Linked DNA regions of Ovis aries. The protein of the gene in region 1 interacts with the protein of each later gene in a biochemical or structural test. Links are inferred from orthologs where the notes say so. Each region holds a gene or a part of one and is shown in the gene's direction. Other genes may lie near its edges.

What was found.
Region 2: of the proteins of H1-5 (region 1) and PRKCD, one has a biochemical effect on the other in vitro, tested with the Homo sapiens proteins (2 studies listed by BioGRID). The link is inferred for Ovis aries from reciprocal best matches to the Homo sapiens genes H1-5 and PRKCD.

The regions. Positions count from the first base shown.
Region 1 is NC_056073.1:29,965,553-29,969,990, forward strand, and holds the start of H1-5 (histone H1.5), read left to right. Parts: upstream 1-1,338; 5' UTR 1,339-3,730; coding exon 3,731-4,411; 3' UTR 4,412-4,438. Other genes in the region: uncharacterized protein LOC101120961, read left to right, coding at 955-1,338. UniProt on the Homo sapiens protein: Histone H1 protein binds to linker DNA between nucleosomes forming the macromolecular structure known as the chromatin fiber. Histones H1 are necessary for the condensation of nucleosome chains into higher-order structured fibers.
Region 2 is NC_056072.1:47,844,901-47,848,710, reverse strand, and holds part of PRKCD (protein kinase C delta type), read left to right. Parts: intron 1-2,233; coding exon 2,234-2,392; 3' UTR 2,393-3,810.

The DNA.
Region 1 (4,438 bases):
AGTATTAAGGGGAAAAGGTAACCAAGCTTCGTTTTAGTTAGCTATTACAGAGTTCTGGAACAGAACGTGGTGACTGGATTGACTTTAACTTGCCTCCACTTAAACACTCGTTTCATGTTATTGAAGCTTGTCAAATCATGACAGCTTATATCTAAAATAATGCAAGGTTCTCTAGATTAGCTGTCCCCAACCTTTTTGGCGGCAGCGACCGGTTTTGTGGAAGACAGTTTTCGACGCGCCTGGGTGGTGGATGGTTTCGGGATGATTTAAGCCATGTTAGAAGCTCCAATAGTTTGGCCGCGTCATGCGAAGAGCCCACTCATCGGAAAATATCCTGATGCTGAGAAAGATTGAGGGCAGGAGGTGAAGGGGGAGACAGAAGATGAGATAGTATCACTGACTCGGACATGAGTTTGAGCAAACTCCAAGGGATAGTGAAGAACTGTGAACCCTGGCATGCTGTAGTCCATGGGGTCGCAAAGAGTAGGGACACGGCTGAGCAACTGAAGAGCGACGACTATTTATTGTGCACTTTATTTCTCTGGAGTAGGAAACGGCAAACCACTTGAGTATTCTTACCTGGAAAATCCCATGGACAGAGGAGGCTGGTAGCCTACAGTCCATGGGATCACAGATTCGGACACTGAGAGACTAGCACACTTTATTCTTACTTTTATTTCATCAGTTCCACCTCAGATCACCAGACAGTTAGATCCCGGAGGTTGGGGACCCCTACTCTAGATGACGAATTTAAGAATTTGGATACATCCTGCAGGCTTCTTTAAAAAGCCAACAAGATATTTCCTATCTCACCACGTAATCCTAGAGTCCGAAGAAGAGGCGGGACAATGCTTCCTAAACCCAGAAAGAATGGGCGTGGAAGGGCGGGGTAGGCGAGGGAGCAGCAGTTTATTGTCCAATCAAGATGCGAGGTTCGCTATATATTTTGGGAAGACCGAGTGCTCACATCACTGTTAGGTAGTTGGCACTACTTACCAATGGCTCGCACTAAGCAGACGGCTCGCAAGTCCACCGGCGGCAAGGCGCCGCGCAAACAGCTCGCCACCAAGGCGGCTCGCAAGAGCGCGCCGGCCACCGGCGGCGTGAAGAAGCCGCACCGCTACCGGCCCGGCACGGTAGCTCTGCGCGAGATCCGCCGTTACCAGAAGTCCACGGAGCTGCTGATCCGCAAGCTGCCGTTCCAGCGGCTGGTGCGCGAGATCGCGCAAGACTTCAAGACTGACCTGCGCTTCCAGAGCTCAGCCGTGATGGCGCTGCAGGAGGCGTGCGAGGCCTATCTGGTGGGGCTCTTCGAGGACACCAACCTGTGTGCCATCCACGCCAAGCGCGTCACCATCATGCCCAAGGACATCCAGCTTGCCCGCCGCATCCGTGGGGAGAGAGCATAAATTTAGTGGCTCCTCCAAGTAACACATACCACCAAAGGCTCTTTTAAGAGCCCCTCAATTGTCACCAAAAGGGAGCTGTTCATTGTCGAGTATACATAATTACCAGCAAATGAAAAACGCCATGAGTTTTAAATGGAACGTATCGTGGACCCAAATATTACTGCCACGGCAATACTATGCAGAAGTGGCTGTATCCTGGGCTCCGAATCAGTCTATTGAACTGTTTCTCGGGGAAGCATTTTTTTAAAGAGAATATTTAATCCTTGGCTAAAGGAAGTGACTGAAAGTGGTCCATTACTTCTTAATTAGTGCTTCCTGTGGATAGTTCTGTAATGACAAACGAAGCGCCTTTCCCCCACCTTTTGCCAAGTGCCATACAACTTAAGATAATGTGTCTCCTGTCTCCCTGTTGCAGGAAGAAATATTGGTCGAGGTTCACAGCAGCCAGTTGCCCAATTACTCAGCTCTCTGCGACTCACCTACAACAGCTGTAAAATGTGGCAAATGAATTAGTTTGTAGACCATACTAAGACGTTCCTGGCACTAAATGCTCAATGAATGTTAGCTATATTATGCCCTTCTTTTGTAAAGCAGACACCGCCACCGCCCCCTCCCCTCCCAGCCTTCCCAAGTTTTCTGAAAGTTTTGTGATTGAAACAGTGGGAAATGCTTGATTGAATCATTTTCTTAAGATCTCCTTTTCTTTAGATCTGGGTTTGCATAATTCTGAAAAAGGCAGACCTGTAAGAAAAACATGAACTATCTGAGGAGGAATTCAAACCGTGAAAGCCATAAAGTAAATATTTTAGGTTTTGCAGGTAACATATAGTCTCTGTCACATCTTAAAGATATTCTTAAAAATACAGAAACTTACCTTGACCATACAAAAATAAGCCAAATAAGATTTGGCCATAAGAGGCTATAGTTTCAACTCCAGGAACCCCTGAAGACATGAAGTGTCAGCCTACAGGTTTTCACAAGAACTGACTGTTGACTGTATGAGAGACCCTAATCATCATTGCATCCAGGGACAAAATCCTCTCCAAGCTTCCTCCTCCCCCAAAATAACAAACATCACCCTCCATTTCACCTCAAAGTTACTGCCTCAGGGCCCTTGGATGTTAATGTTTTCCTGAATTCTCTTGAACTTATATAACCTCCACTCACTCCCTTACTATCCAACCCACACTTATAGTCAGAAGCCAATTATTTCACTGAAAGATACAGGTCTATCTTCATTAAATATACAGAAATATCCACACTGAGGTCCTACAAAAGAAGGTGTTCCTGACCATTCAATTTGTTAAATGTTGGTGGAAATGGAGTTTGAGGGAGAGCAGTGGAAAGTGCTGAAGCTCCAAAGGAGGAAAACAGCTTCTAAGAGAGGGAGAGAGACCCATGCCATCTAAACAGCCTTTCCGCTGTTGCTGGAAGCCCTTGAATAATTTTTAGCCGATTTCAGAGGGGTTTTTTTTCTAAAATACATTTCTGGGTTAAGAAATTTTCTTTCTCATTTTAATGGATTTGCTTACAAATTAAAGGGAGAAAGCTTCTCAATCAAAAACAGACTAAATTTGTTTGAATTTGAAGACAGGTCATTGGATTCTGAAGCCAAAGCAATTTCTATTCCTCATGGAAGAAGTCACTTTGACTACAGAACTAGTCCGAGCCGCGAAATCCCATTCTCTAAAAACAATGGCATCTGGAAACTCCGTGGAAGACAAAACCGATTTTTAAAGTAAAATCTATATGCTTAATTTGTGGCTGTAGGCAACTGGCCATCCTGCACCTGTGTTACTTGCTGCCGTTCGAAGCAAAGTTTAAGCAAAACCAAGGAACCTAGTGTCTTTCCTCTTGCAAAAATCGAAGGCCGAACTTGGCGACAATGCCTTTTAAAAAACATTCACTTGATACTTAACTAAAACTTTATTGCAATATGCAACTACGTAGCTCGATGCCTTACGTCCGGTGAATCTATAGGAAAAGCTGAAGGGATTTTTAAAAATATCTTTCATTAACTGCGCGTGAGTCATAAAAACACAAACAAGTATGTGACCTTGGAGGCTGTTTTCCTCCTCTGAAGCTTCAAAGAGTCAAATTCTGTACCACTGTTTTTAACATTTAATCAAATTTTGGGGACTAACAAACACAGTTTGGGAGTCCAACCACGACAGGCGGCTGCCTGAGGGCGGTGGATCGGACGTTCCACCAATCACAGGGCAGCACCGACTTATATAAACCCGGGCCGGCGCAAGACAGCATTGCAAAACTTGCTCTTTGGAATTTGAGTCTCTCTGCTTCTAGCAGGTTCTCCCATCGCAATGTCGGAAACCGCTCCTGCTGAGACGGCCGCCCCGGCGCCGGTGGAGAAGTCTCCTGCCAAGAAGAAAACAACCAAGAAGACCGCGAGCGGTGGAGCGGCGAAGCGCAAGGCTACCGGGCCCCCAGTTTCCGAGCTGATCACTAAGGCTGTCGCCGCCTCCAAAGAGCGCAATGGCCTTTCTTTGGCTGCGCTCAAGAAAGCGCTGGCAGCCGGGGGCTACGATGTGGAGAAGAACAATAGCCGCATCAAGCTGGGTCTCAAGAGCCTAGTGAGCAAGGGCACACTGGTGCAGACCAAGGGCACCGGGGCTTCCGGCTCTTTCAAGCTCAACAAGAAGGCGGCTGCTGGGGAAGCCAAGCCCAAAACCAAGAAGGCGGGGGCTGCGAAAGCGAAGAAACCCGCAGGGGCCACCCCTAAGAAACCCAAGAAGGCTGCGGGAGCGAAAAAAGCCGTTAAGAAGACGCCTAAGAAGGCGAAAAAGCCCGCGGCCTCTGGTGTCAAAAAAGTGGCCAAGAGCCCCAAGAAGGCCAAAACAGCGGCAAAGCCAAAGAAGGCTGCTAAAAGCCCCGCGAAGCCCAAGGCAGTGAAGCCAAAGGCGGCGAAACCCAAAACCTCCAAGCCTAAGGCAGCAAAACCCAAAGCTGCAAAGGCGAAGAAGGCGGCTCCTAAGAAGAAGTAGAAAGTTGGCGCTTGAGAAGCAAACCCC
Region 2 (3,810 bases), on another chromosome or scaffold:
GTCAGTCATTCAACAAACATTTGGTAACAGTGGATCCAGCACCCTTTACCATGCATTCTCTTTTATTTATTTATTTATTTATGGCTACACTGAGTCTTCATTGCGTCATGCAGGCTTTCTCTAGTTGCAGCAACCCGGGGCTGCTCTTTGTTGTGGTGTGTGGGCTTTTCGTAGTGGTGGCTTCTCGCTGCGAAGCACAGGCTCCAGGCACACAGACTTCAGTAGCTGTGGTGCACGGGCTTGGTTGCTCTGAGGCATTGTGGAATCTTTCCAGACTAGGGATTGAACCCATGTCCCCTGCCCTGGCAGGTGGATTTTTATCCACTGCACCACCAGGGAAATCCAACCATACATTCTTTAACACCCACTGTGTGCAGGGGAGTATGCTTTGGTAATCAGAGTTAAGGCCTCCCTTCCTCCATCTATCCATCCACCCAGTCAATCCATTTTGCAATAAATATAGAAAATGCTGAGTGCCTTCTGAGTGCAGAGCACTGAGCTGGGCTGCATGCACAGCAGAGTAGGAGGCCCAGTCCGAGAACTGGAGGGCCCCAGCTCTTCAGAGAGATAAGAAAGTTGCATGCCGATGATCATTTATGATAAAAGGCATCAGTATGAGAGATGTCACAAGGCCACACACAATCAGTTGCCATGAGGAGGGTCTGTCGGCAGGAGCCAGGATCCAGAGTTTGGAGTAGGTCTGAGAGGAAATGGGATGTGGGCAGGGCTGAGGAGGCCCGGCCAGGCTGGGGCCAGATGCTTTCCAAGGAAAGCAAGGTTGCTGTACACAACAGCTTAGAATCTAGAGAAGCCGCCAGGAGCGAGCAGGAGAGCAGAGGCAGGCTGGACTTCTCAGAAGTCAGACACCAAGGCCCTTCTCTGATCACAGCTCTTCCCTCCCTTCCTCTTTCTCTCCTTTGCCTCCCCTCGCTCCTTGAGGACACTGTTACCACATAGCAGCCCATGTAACATGCTCCAGTGTTTGTGTTTTAAAACCGCAGAGAACTCCGCCGACTCCAGGGACCTAAAACTTGCTGCCTCCTGCACTGGGCACATTACTACCAGGCAAGGCAGGCTGTAGGAATATCCCACAGCCTGCGTTTAGTGTCATGCTTTTGATAGAAAGAGGGATGGACTGATTTTAAACAACACCAGGCATATGTGCTAATCAGCAGCAATCCCTCTCGGAAGGAAGAGGTAGGGGCCTGTGATGAGCTGGCCCCAAGGGGTTTCAGCACCAAGAGTTAACAGACCTGCCAGGAAACTGGCCCAAACTGCTCTGCTCTGTCAGTTTTTCAAAGAAGCCAGGAACCTGGATTTTTTTAAATTTTTTTTGGCTGCACCACACAACACATGGGATCTTACTTCCCCAACCAGGAATTGAACCCATAGTTTGGAAAGTCCCCAAAACTTGATTTTGATGTCATATTTCCTAATTTAAAAATATTGGCTCAGGAATTTCCTGGCAGTCCAATGGTTAGGACTCTGAGCTTTCACTTCCTAGGAGCCAGGTCCAGTCCCTGGCTAAGCTAAGATCCCACAAGCCACGTGGTGAGGCCAAAAGAAAATTGGCTCAAATGCCGTTAAAACTCATGGCTAGTCAAAATGGTTGTACCTGCAGCTCAGTTTGGCCTGAGGGCCACCAGCTTGAGACCTCTTTCTATCACACTTTCACTGTACCCTGAGAAGCAGAGTTGGCAGATTTTTCCTGTGAACAGCCTGACAGGAAATATTGTAGGCTTTTCAGGCCAGCTAGTCTCAAAGTGGCCATAGATGTAGCCATAGACATAGCAGCATGTCAGTTAATAGGCATGGTTGTGTACTAATAAAACTTTATTTATGGATACTGAACCATTGAATTTCATTTAATTTTCACATGTCATGAAATTTTATTCTCCTTTTGTTTTTTTTCCTAAACATTTAAAAATGCAAAATCCAGTCTGAGCTGGTGGGACCTACAGAAACAGGTGGTGGAAGGGGTTTGACCCAGGGCTGTATTGCCTGCTTGGGCAAATGCCCACGTTTCCTCCTCCAGGCCCCCTGCTGGTTTCCTTCAGCCTCTTGGGTAACAGCATCTCCCTTCCAGCAGAGAGGCTCCCTTTTCTGTTCTCAATAAGGATGGCTCTGCATGGCCCAGCCCAGCAGGGATTCTGGCCCCAGGGGTGGGTCCCTGGAACCCCGGGAACCTTCGCCCTTTGAGTCCTGCTTACACACCCCTACCCTCTGCTTGCAGAAGTCACCTGGAGACTACAGCAACTTCGACCAGGAGTTCCTGAATGAGAAGCCGCGCCTCTCCTACAGTGACAAGAACCTCATCGAGTCCATGGACCAAACAGCATTTGCTGGCTTCTCCTTTGTGAACCCCAAATTTGAGAGGCTCCTGGAAAACTGAGGTTCCTGAACGTGTGCCCCAAAAGCCCATCCCAGCCCGGGAGCCTGGGTCAGCCAGCACCATCTGCCGACCCGGCAGCGCAGGTGGGGCCCACACTTCATCAGCACCTGCCTGCCCCCCACGATAAGCAACCGTGCAGTTGTCGTGATTTCTGCTGCTGCCTGCCCCCCATGTCCCAGAGGGGCCTCAGCTCCTGTCCAGCTGGGCTTTCATGGTACTTCCTCTGTGAACTGTGTGTGAATTTGCTTTTCCTCTGCCCTCAGAGGGAAATTGTAAATCCTGTGTTTCATGACTTGAATGTAGTTATCTATTGAAATATATATATATATTATATATATATATGCACATACATATATATATATATAGGCTGTATATATTGCTCAGTAGAGAAAAAAATGTGGGGGACTGGTGATACGTTGATCTTTTAAAATATATGTATTATATATATATGACACACACCCTTGCGACCTCCTACCCCCCTCCAAAAGAAAAAGGAGCACAAGCTGTTTGAACCACCAGGTGCTTTGATTTGTCTGTCTAAATAAACACCAAGTGGTACCGACCTGTCTGTTGGGACACATTTGTCCCAGGAAGCTGGTGGCCGCTGCTCCCGCTTCCGGCAGCTGTCTTGGACGCTAAACCTAGCTGTTAGCTGCAGATGCAGAACCCCTGGGCTTTCATGCAAATGTGTTTGTATTTATGGGTTTCCTCTGGCTCCAGAGCTGGGGGCCAAAAGCAGAACACTTTTCTGGGTGGCTGAGGGAGCCCCAGTTGTCTCTTTGGGGTGATGGGACCAGCTACAGAAAATCCATCTCAGAACAATGAGGGGCGAGCGTGGAAGAGCAGGACAGTGCAAGGCCTGGCCAGAAGACGTGAGCAAAGGTGGCGAGGCCAGCCCAGACTGGGGCGGAGAGGAGGGGAGAGGAAGGAAATACAGCTCAGACTTTAGGCAGTTGTGGATTCAAATCGCAGAGGAGGCAAAAATGTGGCTTTTCAGATGTCACTTAATCATCCAAAATCTCCGTTTCCTCATCTGTACAATGAGCCTGAGTTATTCAGTGTAACTCCTCAAGTTTGTCCCCGCCTTTGCCACAGAGGAGTCTGTGTCTGAGTTCTAGAATCTATTCCCCAGGAGCCCTGGGGCCAGGGAGGGGAGCAGGGTAGGAGAAAAAGGATGAAATGCCGAGTGGCCGGGTCGGGGTCGAGAGCCTTGCCCCAGTGTGCCCTGGTGCAGCCAGGAAACTGGGGGTGGCCGCTGCCCCCCAAGCCTGCAGGTCTCTGTCCCCACCACCTCTTGCCTGCTCTCGGCTTCCTGTTTCTTCCTGTCTGTCTCTCTTGGGGCACAAGCCTTGGGGAGGGTCCGCCCTCCAGCCCTTCAGGTCCAGCCCCCCGAGCTCTCATCCCTGGTGGTAGGTGAG